Linked DNA regions of Bombyx mori. Each later gene encodes a partner of the first gene's protein in a complex. Links are inferred from orthologs where the notes say so. Each region holds a gene or a part of one and is shown in the gene's direction. Other genes may lie near its edges.

Region 1 (7,826 bases):
TATTAGGATGGAAAAATAATTTAATTTCAATATATAAGGTACTTACATGTTTTACATTTAAGCACTCCAGTGTCATCATTTTCATCATCACTGATCTGTATGACATTCTCTGTGTTATGAGGCATGGACCTTTGTATTGTAAAGTTACCATCACTTTGAAGTACAGCTACGTCTCTCGATGTTATTTTCTCAATTTCTTTAACCTGAGCGAAAAAAGAATTGATTCAGTGAAACAAACGTCTTTGGTCTAACTGATCTGGTAAACACATATTGAGTAATTGAATTAAGGAGTTAAATTCTAAGTTTTCTAAGTAAAAACACACATTATCCAGTTCATGTTTATAAATAATTCCCTAGATGAAAAAATTATAATGTGTAATTAAAATGAAACTTGCAAAATTAATAATTATTGGGAGTGAGGTATTGGGAGCCAATATCCACTACATTTCTGCTACACTGCAGAAGTCTATTTGGCTTAAAGGGTATAGCAACTATTATATTATCATCCAATTATCACTTCCACTGCATAGCTCCAAGGATGGTGGCTTTTACCTTGTGATATCTGTGGGCCCCTGTAACAACCTAACCAGGTTATATTGAGTTTATTTACATAAATAAAGATCTAAAACAAACAATACTTTTTGGGCCAGTGAATATTGTCTGTTCTGGTATGTCCATTCAAATCTGTCCATGGTGATATTGTTTTAATGTTATATTCGTACTTAACTCCCTCAACATGTGCCTCTTTATTCTATCTTAGTTGCTGACGGAGTGAGACTGCACAAGCTACTACTAAAGCCAAAGCCCTATGGGTCTGCAGAGGGACTTCGGTTCCCTCTGTATTTTGTACCGCATGTTCCATGGGAAGTGCTCTGAGGAATTGTTTGAGATGATACCGGCATCTCGTTTTTACCATCGCACCGCCCGCCACCGGAGTAGAGTTCATCCATACTACCTGGAGCCACTGCGGTCATCCACAGTGCGTTTCCAGAGGCCTTTTTTGCCACGTACCATCCGGCTATGGAATGAGCTCCCCTCCACGGTGTTTCCCGAGCGCTATGACATGTCCTTCTTCAAACGAGGCTTGTGGAGAGTATTAAGCGGTAGGCAGTGACTTGGCTCTGCCCCTGGCATTGCTGAAGTCCATGGGCAACGGTAACCACTCACCATCAGGTGGGCCGTATGCTCGTCTGCCTACAAGGGCAATAAAAAAGTTATTTCTACTGTGAATCATTAGGTTCCTGTTTAATAGTACAATAGCAATAATTTTTTACAAAAGCAACTTTGAACTTTAGTCAAGATGAGCGGTGATGTCCATGTTGTGAATGAACTTCAGTATCTGCTCAATTTTCATTTTGAATAAATTCAATGATTCAGATTTCTTATAAAATGGCCTGGGCTGTAATGGAATAATTGTAAAATACATATTAAAGTAAAAAAGCATAATTACTCAATTATAACAATAAACTAAGAGAAGCAGGTCACAGAAATTAAATCTCTATCAACACACCTGCTTTTGAATATTATCATTTTGACTGCTCTCATCTTCTTCAACTGTTTGGAAAACAGCAACTGAGCTATTTGGTATTTTTTGTAAGACAACCTGAGTTTCTTCCGATTTATTTTTGCACTTGTTCTTGTGTGCAATTTTTTCAACAATTTCAGTTAAATCTTTTGAAAGTGGAATCCTTTCATCGCTATCACTTTGTTCAGCATCTTCTGTTACAGATTCTTTCAAGGACTCTTGATATTCTTCCTCTAAATGTTTTATTTTCATCAATTCTTTGAGCTAAAATAATAATACACATAATCTGAATGTATATGGATAGTGTGCAGCTGTTAACCTGTGTTCTTGACATTGTCAATGTGCTGAGCTACAATGACCACTTATGATCAGATAAACTTTAGGCCTCTGACTTAAAAGTATATATTAACAATTACTACTTCTGTTCAACCATATTTTTATAAATTTTTAACCACACAAACTTTATATTCAATATGAGATTAAAATACTATATTAAGTAATAAACATACTCACTGCTGAGGTAGCCTTAACAAAGTGTCCATGAATTGTGGTACTGAACTTTTCTTTACAGTAAACACGTTTGTGAGATACAAAGTTTGCTAGGCTTCTGAATATATTTCGGCAAACTTTGCATTCATACAAAATATCACACTCATTAGATAGTAAATTTTTAAGCTGAAAATTTTATAAGCCATTAAAGATTTATCTGTATAGTCTATAGAGTTCATAAAGTGAGAAACTTGAAATAATACAACTGACAAATTATTTTTTTATTTAAAGCATTGCATTACATAATACTTATTCAGATACAACTTAGTACATTTAATAGAATTGAACTCTAATCAACTTAACCATTGGGTAATTAGAACACCAAACTCTGTTTAAATAATAGAATATAGATATGTAATTTTGAGAATATATTTTTGAAAGAAAATGATCAATTTTACCTTTTTCAATGTTATCTTTCAGCATTTACTAAGCAATTGGGTTAATTAAGAGATGAGATGAATGAGAGAATGATGTTATTAATGTTTTTAACATTTGTTATACCTTTTTCATAAATAAGTCAGTAAGTGGTTTTCTTACCTCTTCAGTAGCTAAGTCAAATATTTTTCTTGCTTGACCAAAACTAGTGATACTGGTCAAGATAGGTTTTCTGAGTAAGGCATAGTCTGGGAGTTCATTTTCTTCATTGGTTTGTCCATTGCCTCTATTGTTTGATTTGCTTTTATCTTCTTTTCCCTTTGATTTTGTATTCACTTTGTTACCAGCCATGTTACACCTAACAATTACAATTTAATGACTTTATCACAAGACATTTACAAAGGTAAGTTTGATTTGATAGCAACATAAATATGAACTGTTATAAAATACTGTAGGTACCAACAGTATATTTCGTGTGATACTGATCAGTTTTACGGAAATCACCAATGTGATATTTATTTCAATTATGCACTGAACTCACTGAATTTAAAATGATATGTTTGACAACAGATATTTTTCCTTCATCTTTATATCCGCATGGTTATATTGCAAGCAACACTCGACTTCAAAATGTTCGCAGTCTCTCCCTCAATTTTAGAGGATATTTCGCGGTTTGTGGTCACAAATCTTATTCCAATAAATATTCTAAATACTGCAGATACCGAAACCAGTGCTGAAAGGTTTCAACTTACCCTAAAAACCTCACTACCGCTAACTTGAAAATTGAAGACCTGCGACAAATTCACATCCATCACGCCTCCATTTTCAACAAATGAATGGCACCAATAGAACGTAATCAGGTTTGAATGATTCGACTATAGAATGTAAATTTTTGAACGTAGATTTATTTTTACATAGGTAATTACCTAACTAGTTTGGAGTTTTCATGAGAGAATAAAATTGATCAACATGCTTTTTTTTTAAATATTTTTGTTGATTGGTTTTGTGTCTATTTTCTTTGATTAGCTGATATTAATGTCTCTAGTTGCTCTTTGCAGACAGAGTATGCAATTTATTGGTATTCAGAATTGAGCGTATACCGCTTGAAATAACTAATTTATGGCTTTCGAAGATTGGTAATAGTTTATTTGGATGTGTATAGGTATATCCGATATAACAAGGAAGTTAACTACATACTAATTAAAACCCATTATTTTAAATGCATAAAATCGTGAATCCCGTGTGTATGTGTATTAAATTATGTTTAAAAGTATTTTAAGCCCTAATTCTGGAATCTAGTATATTTGCATTTTCTTTTACTTTATTAATAAAAGTAAAGTTTAATACCTCTATTGAATACCAACATATTACCTAACCATTTGAATTTGTTGGAGTGGACTGATCTTTTACCACAAAAACAGTGCTACCATAAGTAGACAGTACGCGTGAGCTTCGAGGTCCCTATACCCTTCTCTATTTAGTATGAGAAAAAAAGCGCTTGTCACCGGCCATCTAAATATTATATCTGCATAAATCCAAATTTGATCACGTTATTATAGTTCAGTGATTTATCTTGGAGGTAAAGAATATTAATCTATTTAAAAACTCCTTTGAGTTTGGATGTCAACATTTGGGTATTTAAAAAGTCAGTAGTAATACTTAATTCTGATTCATGATTCATTCATTACACTGTGATTTACTCGCGATAGTTATTTTCAGTGACTCGCAATAGTCGATGTGACATATGTTCATCGACTAAATTATAGGCACGATGCCTTTCGCCTTAAGTTGCGATTTATAAATGAAGGAATACTTCCGCAGTAACTTTTTCTTTATTACGTTTTAAAATTTTAATCGTTTTTTTTTATGTTTCGATATTTGACGAGAAGCTTCATGGATTAAAATCTATTTACCGGCCCAATTGGCCAAATCAATTAAATTATTAGTGTTTTCAATGAACTTTAAACCTTCAACACATGTAGCACAGATATGTATTAACTGGCGAAATACTATTACTACTATTACTTATTGTACTACATGGTATACTCTTTGGTCTATGAAAATAAGGCGATTAGGATTTATAAATATTTAACCGCAAAGTTAAAAAAATTAACAGAAAAAGTACACCTACCTACCTACTACATACATACCTCTTCTAGGTAGGTATCATACTTATTGCCATAATTATATTTATTTATTGCACTAAAACTTATTGGAAATAGAAATAGGTACGTACATAATTATAGTATTTTGAAAGAATACTAAATCATTAATTACAAATCTATATAAAAATAATAAAATGAAAGTAATAAATACATCTCTTATTGCTAATTATTGAATATTCGTTTTGATTAGCTGCATATTACTGAAGTACACACAAGTGTGGTTTAAAAGAATAATATCTCAGTTCTTTCAATGTGTATGTATTTAAATAGTGTAATGTATTTATTTTTCAGTCATAATGACTTCAGAATCTCAAACGGCTGATTATCAAAATAGGAGATGGCAACATATAAGGAAGCTGCTGGAAAGATCTGGTCCTTTCTGCCATCCAGATTTTGAAGCTTCAGCAGAAATTCTAAATTTCATCATGAACTGTTGTAAAGTTCTCATTGTTGGGGCAGGTGGTCTTGGTTGTGAATTATTGAAAGATTTAGCCTTAATGGGCTTCAAAAAGTTACATATTGTAGATATGGATACAATAGAACTATCAAATTTAAACCGGCAATTTTTGTTCAGAAGAAATGATATTGGCCTACCTAAAGCTAAATGTGCTGTGGAATTTGTCAATAAAAGGTAAAAATGTAATTGTGATGAGTAGAGTTAGTGTTTAATTGAATGTTATCAATGTACAGTAATTATTATTTACATTATTAAATAAATACATAAAGTTACACACTTGCAAATAGTAGGGGTCCCTGAAGTAATTATCTATTATCCCATTATGATAATTGTTACGTTTTCTATATGAACGTTCATCATTTTGTGAAATCTTGATAAAAAGGATGAATAATGGGGGAAGTCTATACACGATGTAGGAGGCGATGGATGTATGAATTCAAAAGTAAGGATTCCCTGACAGGAAGTAGATTTTCAACATTTTCCGAAATAAGTGGTTACATAAACTAGACTGAAGTGCATCCAAAGTAGTGAAAACAGTGTTAGTACTTTTATTCCCATGTCATAAATCTTACCTTTGATTTTAATATTCTGAAACACGTAAATTTTATTATATTGCTCTTGATAGTGTTACATTTAAATTGTTGATTGATTGATGTTGATTGTTGTTGCTTCCCGAAGCAAGGCCAGGGCGGGTCGCTAGTCTATACTAGAACTGTAATTTATTATTGATTATCAAAATAAGTTGGCAGATTTCTTTCCTACTTACTTGACACTTATCATTATATTTTTGTAATTCACACTATATCTTTATAAATTATTATAGTCAATGTCAACTATATTATTGTAAAGTTTCATCAAAATCCATCAAGTAGTTTTTCGGTGGAAGAGTAACAAACATACATTCTTACAAACTTTCCGTTTGTAATATTAGTAGGATCTGTGTTATATATTTTTATTAACATCTCCAGTAAAGCATTGATGATGGCACAAACATTATACAATATTTATCTCCTAAGCAAACCAAGTTTGTGGTTTCAATTCCTATTTGGCATTTTTGAACATGCATTTTTAAGCTAAGACAGACACCCCCAGCCACACCACACTGTGGGCACTGTGCTTCAGCTGGTTTTTTTTCCATTATTGAGACAATTTATCTGGTATTTGATATCATTTAAAATGAAATTAAATATATTTGCCAATATATTTTTTTCTTAAATTGTAATCATCATACACTTCTTCTTCTTCTTCTTCTCAGTCATGTCACTCTTGACAGAGTGGTCGTGATCGTCATGTAGTGTTACTCTTATTTTACTTAAAATGACAGTTGTTGTAATTTTTGTTGAATAAATTTTGTTGTTTTGAACTTTGGTATTTCTTTTCATTACAGAGTTCCTGGGTGTGAAGCTGTAGCTCACCACTGTGCCATTCAGGACCTTGATGAAGATTTTTATAGACAATTTCACATTGTTGTTTGTGGGCTTGACTCAATTATTGCTCGGAGATGGCTTAATGGAATGCTGGTATCCTTGTTGCAGTACAATGATGACAGTAATAGTTTATTTTCTTAAAGTTCTTGGTAGTAGCTAGTGTTTTATTTACTGGCAGAGTGTGTATCTTGAGCCTAGGAAAAGGTATTTACCTATTCCTGCCACAAGGCATTAACATGTTCTAGTTTTCTACACTTTTATTATAAAAATATAATTTGTTAAAATATTTTGTAAGAAACTAATATAAATACTTTGTGCCTAAAGAGATAATTTCAGACAGAATAAATAAAATTAAACTTGAATCAAAAATTGTTAAATATTTATATAAATAATTTATTATGATTACGAATTTTTCATTGCTCATATTTTGAAAATATTCTAAAAAAAAACAATGTTAACAACATATCCATCTTTATTGTTTTAACTTTCAATAGTATCTACCTATTGCATTTTAAATTTTGTTAATTTGTAATTTGACAGGAAGTTTGGACCAGAGTAGTGTAATTCCAATGGTGGATGGAGGTACTGAGGGATTTAAAGGCAATGCTAGAGTTATATTACCTGGCATGAGTGCATGTATTGAGTGTACTTTAGATCTATATCCCCCACAAAAAACTTTCCCTTTGTGCACCATTGCTAACACTCCAAGGTAATTAGTATAACTATATATCTATTCAATTGTTAATTTACAAATGACAAAGTGTTCAATATTCTCATGACTCATATATTATTTCCAGATTACCAGAACATTGTATCGAATATGTTAAAGTAATTCAATGGGCAAAGGAGAATCCATGGGGTAGTTCAACAACTTTAGATGGTGATGATCCACAGCATGTCGTGTGGGTGTATGAAAAGGCCCAAGAAAGGGCAATGAAGCATGGGATTGCTAATGTTACATACAGGTTGACCCAAGGAGTTTTAAAGAACATTATACCTGCTGTTGCCAGTACTAATGCTGCTATAGCTGCTGCTTGTGCTACAGAGGTGAAAGCCCAATTTATTTAAAATCTCGATAGACTTAATAGTCTGTATTAGTTTATTATCTATTCCTTAAAATGTTGATTCATCTGTTATATACTGTGAATAATATTGGCACAGGTATTTAAACTAGCTTCATCTTGTTGTGTGAATATGAACAACTACATGGTACTGAATATGGCTGATGGTGTGTATACATATACATTTAGTGCAGAGAAAAGGCCTGATTGCGTTGCTTGTTGCAATTCTACTAGGGTTATGAAAATCGATCCTGATGCTACATTACA
Region 2 (7,774 bases), on another chromosome or scaffold:
GGGTGGCTAGTTTCATGGTATTCATTTTTTTAACAGTTATGGAAGCTGGTAACAATCCCTTTGGTTTCGCATTCTGTATCAAAATTGGATTCGGTACAAGATTTTTATTATACTGCTGTGGAACATTCCCTATTCTTGCATTATTCATGTTGACCAAATTGACTGGAATTCGGCACCCTGTCATCTTACTTTTTGGTGATTGTCTGATATACTGTCTAACAACTGGTCTTGGTGAAACTGAATTATTCTTCTGAATAGCACATCCATTATTCTTTAATTTCATTGAAACTGGATTAACATCTTTAGGGATTTTAGTAACTGTAATTGACCTACCCACTAACGACAGTGGGAGAGCACTATTAGACGGCTTTGCGGGTTTTATAGTTATTCCACAAAGATTATTTGGTATGTGAACCATGGCATTCGGTCGAGTTTTTGCCTGAAAGTTTATAACAATTAAACAACTTGTTTAGGTTTGGTGGTCTATCAAATATTATATGCAAAAGTGCGCTAAATTTAATTATATATTAAATTGGGTACATACTTTCTTTGGCGCTGGTTCAGTATCATCATCTGAAGAACCTAATTCTATCACATCTTCGCTTGCCATGTTGCATCAATGTTAATCGGGAATGTTAATATTTTTGTAATCGATTATAAACCTTGTAGGTTACAAACTTGGAATATTTTGCTTCATTACTCTAGCGAAATACGTTCATTTTTTCATAAAACAGGAAGGAAAGTTATATCAACAAATAAATAGGTGCATCAACGAAAGCCTACAATCGCGTAAAGTGTATAATCTATGATCGCGGCAAAGTGCGTAGGTACATAGATGGGCCCAATCGGAATCGATCTTTTGGAAAATCGATCTTTAATTTTAATCGCCTTACATCCACATCGGCTCACATTTTTATTACCTAAATGGGATTTAAAAAATGAGTAGTTTTAGATCTAAATTGACAAAACCATTGTAATTCTTGGGTTTTCCAGAGTCATACATGGAATTTATTACTGGTGGTAGGACCTCTTGTGAGCCCGCGCGGGTAGGTACCACCGCCCTGCCTATTTCTGCCGTGATGCAGTGATGCGTTTCGGTTTGAAGGGTGGGGCAGCCGTTGTAACTATACTTGAGACCTTAGAGCTTATATCTCAAGGTGGGTGGCGCATTTACATTGTGGATGTCTATGGGCTCCAGTAACCACTTAACACCAGGTGGGCTGTGAGCTCAACCACCCATCGAAGAAATAAAAATAAAACTACATTTACGACTATATATATATATATATATATATATATATATATATATATATTTAGTTAAATATTATTTAATAGTACACTAGTACACACATCGAGTGACTCGGGGTACCGTAGTCAGCGCCCCAACTACTGGGCTGAGAATTGTGAGTTCGGAATTCCATTTTGGAGAATCGTACGTGTACCTAAAATATTTTTTGTCTTTATTGGAACGAAGTTCCTTACGGCAGGCTTGGAGGGGATAGGGATATTGCTGCGCGACCGAACTGAAAAAAATGTGATAGTAAAACCGTAAGGAAAAATCCGTGGAAAAAAGTGCGTGGAATAAAACCGTTAAATGAGACGTGCGCAGGCGCGACAGTCGTATACACAAGCGAGTAGTGTATAATACCTTTCTCTTTCTCCCTCTTTCTTTTCGTTCTCTCATCCTTTCTCTCTCTATTTTGTAATTATTTCTATTTCTATGTAATTTTATGTTGTCAAACAAAACTAAAGAGACATATTTTGTTATTTTAATTGATAATTTTGATAATTTGAATTACGATTTTATTTTTATTTTACGTAATTTATTATTTCCTAAAATACTGAATTTCCTAAATACTTTCCTGTACTTAAATAAAAACTAATCAGCAAAATTTAAGAGAAAAATCAAGAAAACCAACATAAAAATGAGCACGATTTTTTTTTGCAAATTGTGTCGATTCTACGTTAGCCGAAGGAACTTCGTTCCTACCTGGTGTCCCACGACACCACTTTTTTTTTTCTTATTTTATGTTAAATGTATATACATTTATTTATTTGGAAAAAAGGAACAGTACAAAACACCCATAAAATACATTCAAAATAGATATACAAAAAGTAAACAAGTTTGCACTATTAACATTACAGGTAAGTAGAAAGTAAACAGAAAAATAACTTTAGGAAGACCTTAATAAATAAAAGTTTACAACAAGGTAACAAAATACAACAATTACAAAACTTTATACTAATTATTGCTACACGTCGGACATTACTAACCTTTCAAAAAATATTCCCAAATAGCATTATAAATGCAAACGTGTATATATTTAAATTTACGTAACTAAATCTCTATTTCCGATAGTAGAAGGTATCCTAGCTTGAGGGCAAATGACGTTTGTGATTTGTGTATAATTTTGATGAAATTTCGCAGAAAGTTAATAATATTTGGTGAAGTGGCAGACCGCGGTAAAATGCACTCGCTGTGAAACGGCGCGTCGCGTCGGCGCGAACGGAACTGAAGTGTTGTTTGTTGCGTTCGCTTCACCAAACATATAAGCATGCTCATGGGGCTCAATCTGGGAGACTTTGTAAACATCCTCTCTAGAGCAATGCTTCGCTGAATCTACCACCGGATCAAAATCACAACCCTCTGAGAAAATCCGTTGAGTAACTCAGTGGGCTCAAACTCTTTTTGCGCTCGCTGCATGACATAATACATGTGATCAGGGACGTCTTAAATTAGGCTGGGGCCCTTGGACACACAAGAATTTGAGGTCCTTTTGGAAAGTAAAAAAAGCGAATTATAATAACATTTTTTACTCAGTATGACCATTTATTATAGGTAATCAAATACGGTATGATATAATATGTCATTAATGATATTAGAATACTGCTGGTTTTTTGGTTACGATCACGATAACGGAAACCGAATAAATGTGTGAGAGAAATTGTCGGTCCTTAGGGGGCCCCTGAGAATGGGGTCCCTGGGAACGGGTCCCGTGTGCCCTTATGGTAAAGACGGTATTGCATGTGATGGTAATCTTTGAACAATGTCCTCTCAAGAAATTCGCGGTCAGTGTATCGCCCTCAAGATGTGCCGACAAAGGAGAGTCGTTAGCGGTGTTTGTTCAAACGGCTATGTTTAGTTGGTTGATGTACTGATAGTTTATATTTCGTTTCGTTTGTATTTCGCCGCACGCCCCCAGTAGTGATAGGCAGCTCGTTATCTAGGGATTCGCTGCCCTAATCACATCGTAATAATACTCATAGTAAATGACATGATCGAACAACACCCGGTATTTTTGCTATTTTAAATGAGACAGTGTATTTGCTGATTCATGATTTCGGATTGGTGATCTACAAATAAACTTAAAAAAACAAAATAGTTAATGGAGCGGAGAGTGATACAACCATAGAGTTAGTATACTTATTAACTCCATGGATACAACTGACACAAGTAACTTTTTTTCGGATAAGCTATTAATCTAGTTTTTTCTATGCTATAAAATATACTAGTACCTACTATTTTTTTACTGATCTGTGGATGTTTGTGCGTTCGTCCACAGATTAATAATGTGTGGGTCCGCCAGAGAATTGAACTAAATTGAACTAAAAATTGAAATAATTGAACGGTAGAAATTGTCAAGAAGAATGTGTTTGTTGAAGCTTGACTTATACCTAATTGGCTAAAACAAAAAGTCAAAGAGAAAGTATATTATTTAGCCAATCATAAGTCTAGGTTTGGCTCTTCATTTAACAAAATTTCACCGAACACTGATCTGTGATACAAAAACTCAAAAAAGTCAAGCTGTCAAAATAGATCTTGGAATTTAATAAATTATTAATCTATTTAATTGATTAGTTAGGAAAATGATTAAACTTTTTTCATTAAAACAACAGAAAAAAGATGAAGAGGGTTCTACCAGAGGAGGAGGATCACAAAAAAAAGCATCAGCAGCCCAATTACGAATTACAAAAGGTTCTAGGCGATATTTTCAGTGTTTACTAGATTTTTCATGTTTAATTAAGCATTACCAATGAATTTCCTGTATTTTATGGCAGAAATATATTGGCAACAAATAAGATTTCATTAAAATTAACTTGTTATTTTATAAGATTTTATAAGCTTCATTTCATGACCAATATTAATGTATCCACAGATTTGAATGAATTGAATCTACCGAAAACATGCAACACAGAATTCCCTGATCCGGATGACCTATTGAATTTTAAATTGATTATATGCCCAGATGAAGGATTTTATAGAGGAGGAAAATTTGTATTTAGCTTTAAGGTGAGCTTTTGTTCATTATTCATTAACATCATAATTAACCTTAAGATAACTTTCGATGTGTTCACCAGTAGATCACATTCATTATCTCAGAGCTTAATCACTTCATATGGCAATATTGTTGGGTACAGGAAAAAAATTACGAATGGTCTTTGTATGCAAAACTTGGAACTATAAGAACTGATTCAAAATCTGTATTTTTTACAAACTAAAATCATATGGCTTGGAATAGTTGGCTAGTTTTTGTAAAAAAACATCATTACATGATTGTATTTTAAAAATTTACTGGTCTGAATAAAAATTTAATCTGTTGATTCTGACTTGGTATTAGGTGGTCAAAGTTAGTGTACAACTGGGTAAGCCCTGTGATCATGTCTATATCTCTTCTATAATACTTTTACTATATTCTGGTTTTAAGCATTGAACATCTGATGCCGAAGTCCTCGTCGACATGATGGGTCTGTGTTGGATGGCTGGATGGCCTCACCGCTGTTGACTGGTCAGTAGGGATGCTTATAGTGGAGATCCCATCGGAACCTGCCTGTGTCTGTGATTACCATCCACAAATTTAACATTAGAGTGAAGCCTGATGGTCATACATGGGGTAGACTGCGATAGACTATGATTTTTTTTGTGGTTATTGATCTCTCTCTCTTTCTCTCTCTCTCACACACTCATGCACTAATGTTGGTACACCACATTCTACCTTGTTCCTATTAATATAGGTAGATGAGGTGTGAATCTTTAAGAGCATCTAAAAAAACAGAAAATTTTGAAGTAATACTGATGATCATCGCTGATGATGATAACTGCCACAGCTGTTTTTATTTTTATTTCATAGGATCATATGATTAACCAGTTGCGCATATTAAGTATTTAACTGAGCCCCACACCCTACAATGTGAACGTCACAAGTCATCATAGAAGTGTGCAGACAAAAGAGGACAAAGTTTCATTAATTGATAAAGTGTAGTAATAAAACATAATAACAATACAACATAACAAAAAAAATTAAAAGGTTTCACATGTTTGTACAATTCTTTTATGACATTGATCAGTCTATAGCAAAAACTTTCTCCTGTGTTATTTCGCCTATAACATCTTGAAGACAATAACACCCAGATCCTGAAAACCAAATATATTTTATCGACTCTAGGGGATAGTAGTCGCTAGCAACCTGACCAATGAGGCAGAACTTAGGTAATGATTCTTCAGTCAATTCATTTTTACTCAGAACAATTTATCAAAGGATGTTTTCAAATAATACTAACCAGCTGGAGCTCAGTAGCTAATACTTCTTTTACTATTGGTTAAATTAACTGTCCCTCAATTGAATATGTACGTTTATAGTAATAAATATTTAATATTATACAAAGTCCACAGTCTTTTTGCTGAGAAGCTGCTGAAAAAAAGCTTTGACTTTGAAGTTGGCTGAACTTCTTTGTTGTGTCTTGAAAAAATTGCAGACAAAATAATAAAAACATTTCGATTATTGAGTTCAGAAGCGAGATAGTTGGGGTCTTGATTGTAACTTTGCAATAACTCCTAATTTTGGATTTTTTTAACATCTTGTACTTGATCAAACTCAGTGATCGGTCCGTGCGGTTCTAAATAGGAGACAGTTTGAGTATAGTTATTAATACAATCTCAGACCACAGGCTATGATATAATAAACTAAAAACGGACCCCAGGCGAACCTTGAGGTTTGTCGAGGACTTCAAGGTGATCCCTCCCTCTATATTCTCCTTCTTTAAGCCTAATCTTTATAGATTACAAACTTATGTTATGTTACACATGGGTAGGTACCACTATCCTGTCCATTTATGCCGTGAAGCTGTCATGCGTTTCGGTTCGAAGGGTTGGACGACCGTGAGAGGAGAGTTAAGTCAGCGGCTCGTCTCAAGTGACTAGCAGCATTTACGCTATGTTATCTCCGATAAATATTACGTAGATAATACCATATCGGCCGTAAGCTGAAGTATTCTAGAAATGCTAAAACACTTTAGTAGATAGTAAGTAACTTGTATCTTTCTAACAAATATTTTTAACCAATTTTCAGGTAGGACCAAATTATCCTCACGAGCCGCCCAAAGTCAAATGTGAAACAGCAGTTTATCATCCTAACATAGACCTCGAAGGCAACGTGTGCCTGAATATACTCAGGGAAGATTGGAAACCTGTTCTCACAGTTAACTCCATAGTGTACGGTCTCCAGTATTTATTCTTGGTAAGCCCACTAAATTGATATAAAGACATAGCAATTAAGAACTTCTCATCAAACAGTTTTCTTTTTTTGGTTTTTCTTTTCCAGAAATTGACAAGTTTTGGTGTAATTATGATTATTTTCGTTTTTTTTTTTATTTCAACCTTTCAAATACTTCAATTTTCGTATTCACCGACAACTGTGAGTCTTTAAAGTATTTTTAATTATGTGTAGGACTCACGAAAACCAACGAAATAACTGCTGGTTATGGTTTGATGAAAAAGTTTATGTTTGAAGTAATATTAAATTTAGAAAAATGTATTAATCTCAAGAATGTTTCGGAATCTGAAGAAATTTACTGTACAAAATGCTCTTTTATCAAACTTAGGGCTGCCGATAAAAATCATAACTATAAAAATATTCGTATATTAGCAGTACTCGTAAAGATAAATATAATGAGATTAGATGGGAAAGTCGCTATTCGTCCGTCATCACACGTATTGCATTTTTATCTATTTTGGTGTACAATAACGCATACTCTCTCTTTCATTCACGGTATTGTATTTTATTTTTATCCAGTTTACGTGTACTTGTATAGTCTTGTATAATTGTATCCTATAACTCTCTGTGGAGAGAGTTCTTTGACGAATTGAGAAAATTTCATCATTTTCATTTTATCTTCGCACGAACTGTCAGCAAAGCTTATCTATACTCGCGCCACCCACCTCGAGATATACGTTCTAAGGTCTCAAGTAATAGTTCAACGGCTGCCCCACCCTTCAAACCGAAACGCATTACTGCTTCACGGCCGAAATAGGCAGGGCGGTGGTACCCACCCCCGCGCAGACTCACAAGAGGTCCTACCACCAGTAAAAAACATGTATTGGAATTGTTTTTTTTTTTTTTTAGGAACCAAACCCTGAAGATCCCCTCAACAAGGAAGCAGCTGACGAGCTCCAAAGCAACAGGCGACTTTTCGAACAACACGTTCAGAGAGCTATGCGAGGCGGCTACGTCGGCACATCTTATTTCGAACGATGCCTCAAATGAAAACCTGCACACGTGTAAAAAATGCTAACAACCATATAAATAATAATAAAATCTCATTTTAATGTTTTTCTATTGTTTCGTTTTTATTTATTTAATATTGTTTTTAAAAAAAGCCATCTCTAATGCCATGCCCAACAAGATATCTAAAGTACAATTATTATATTGAGAAATCGTTTAATTCACTTGAATTTCTCTTATAATAATTTCATAACAAAATATACGAGTCGTATCGA

What was found. The genes of interacting proteins can lie anywhere in the genome.
Region 2: the proteins of NEDD8-activating enzyme E1 catalytic subunit (region 1) and ubiquitin-conjugating enzyme E2M are in contact, whole or in part, in a crystal structure (PDB 2NVU), measured with the Homo sapiens proteins. The link is inferred for Bombyx mori from reciprocal best matches to the Homo sapiens genes UBA3 and UBE2M. Residues at the interface, in NP_003959.3 of Homo sapiens: His53, Pro54, Asp55, Glu61, Ser62, Phe65, Cys70, Gln149, Asn152, Asp153, Thr154, Arg157, Gln158, Phe159, His160, Ile170, Arg173, Trp174, Ser181, Leu182, Leu183, Asn184, Pro192, Ile195, Val196, Pro197, Leu214, Met217, Arg254, Met255; in NP_003960.1 of Homo sapiens: Lys3, Leu4, Phe5, Ser6, Leu7, Lys8, Gln9, Gln10, Lys11, Lys12, Glu15, Lys21, Gly22, Ser23, Ser24, Lys25, Lys26, Ala27, Gln31, Leu32, Gln35, Lys36, Ile38, Asn39, Glu40, Phe51, Ser52, Asp53, Pro54, Asp55.

What each region holds. Positions count from the first base shown.
Region 1 is NC_085115.1:7,045,570-7,053,395, forward strand, and holds the start of NEDD8-activating enzyme E1 catalytic subunit, read left to right. Parts: upstream 1-3,884; 5' UTR 3,885-4,028; intron 4,029-4,115; exon of another isoform or gene 4,116-4,677; intron 4,678-4,905; 5' UTR 4,906-4,910; coding exon 4,911-5,245; intron 5,246-6,458; coding exon 6,459-6,619; intron 6,620-7,038; coding exon 7,039-7,207; intron 7,208-7,295; coding exon 7,296-7,545; intron 7,546-7,659; coding exon 7,660-7,826. Other genes in the region: uncharacterized protein LOC101738796, read right to left, coding at 47-203, 1,511-1,789, 2,039-2,200, 2,612-2,800. UniProt on the Homo sapiens protein: Catalytic subunit of the dimeric UBA3-NAE1 E1 enzyme. E1 activates NEDD8 by first adenylating its C-terminal glycine residue with ATP, thereafter linking this residue to the side chain of the catalytic cysteine, yielding a NEDD8-UBA3 thioester and free AMP.
Region 2 is NC_085121.1:6,067,934-6,075,707, reverse strand, and holds the start of ubiquitin-conjugating enzyme E2M, read left to right. Parts: upstream 1-3,576; 5' UTR 3,577-3,867; coding exon 3,868-3,976; intron 3,977-4,157; coding exon 4,158-4,291; intron 4,292-6,347; coding exon 6,348-6,515; intron 6,516-7,400; coding exon 7,401-7,541; 3' UTR 7,542-7,774. Other genes in the region: uncharacterized protein LOC101745482, read right to left, coding at 1-439, 545-610.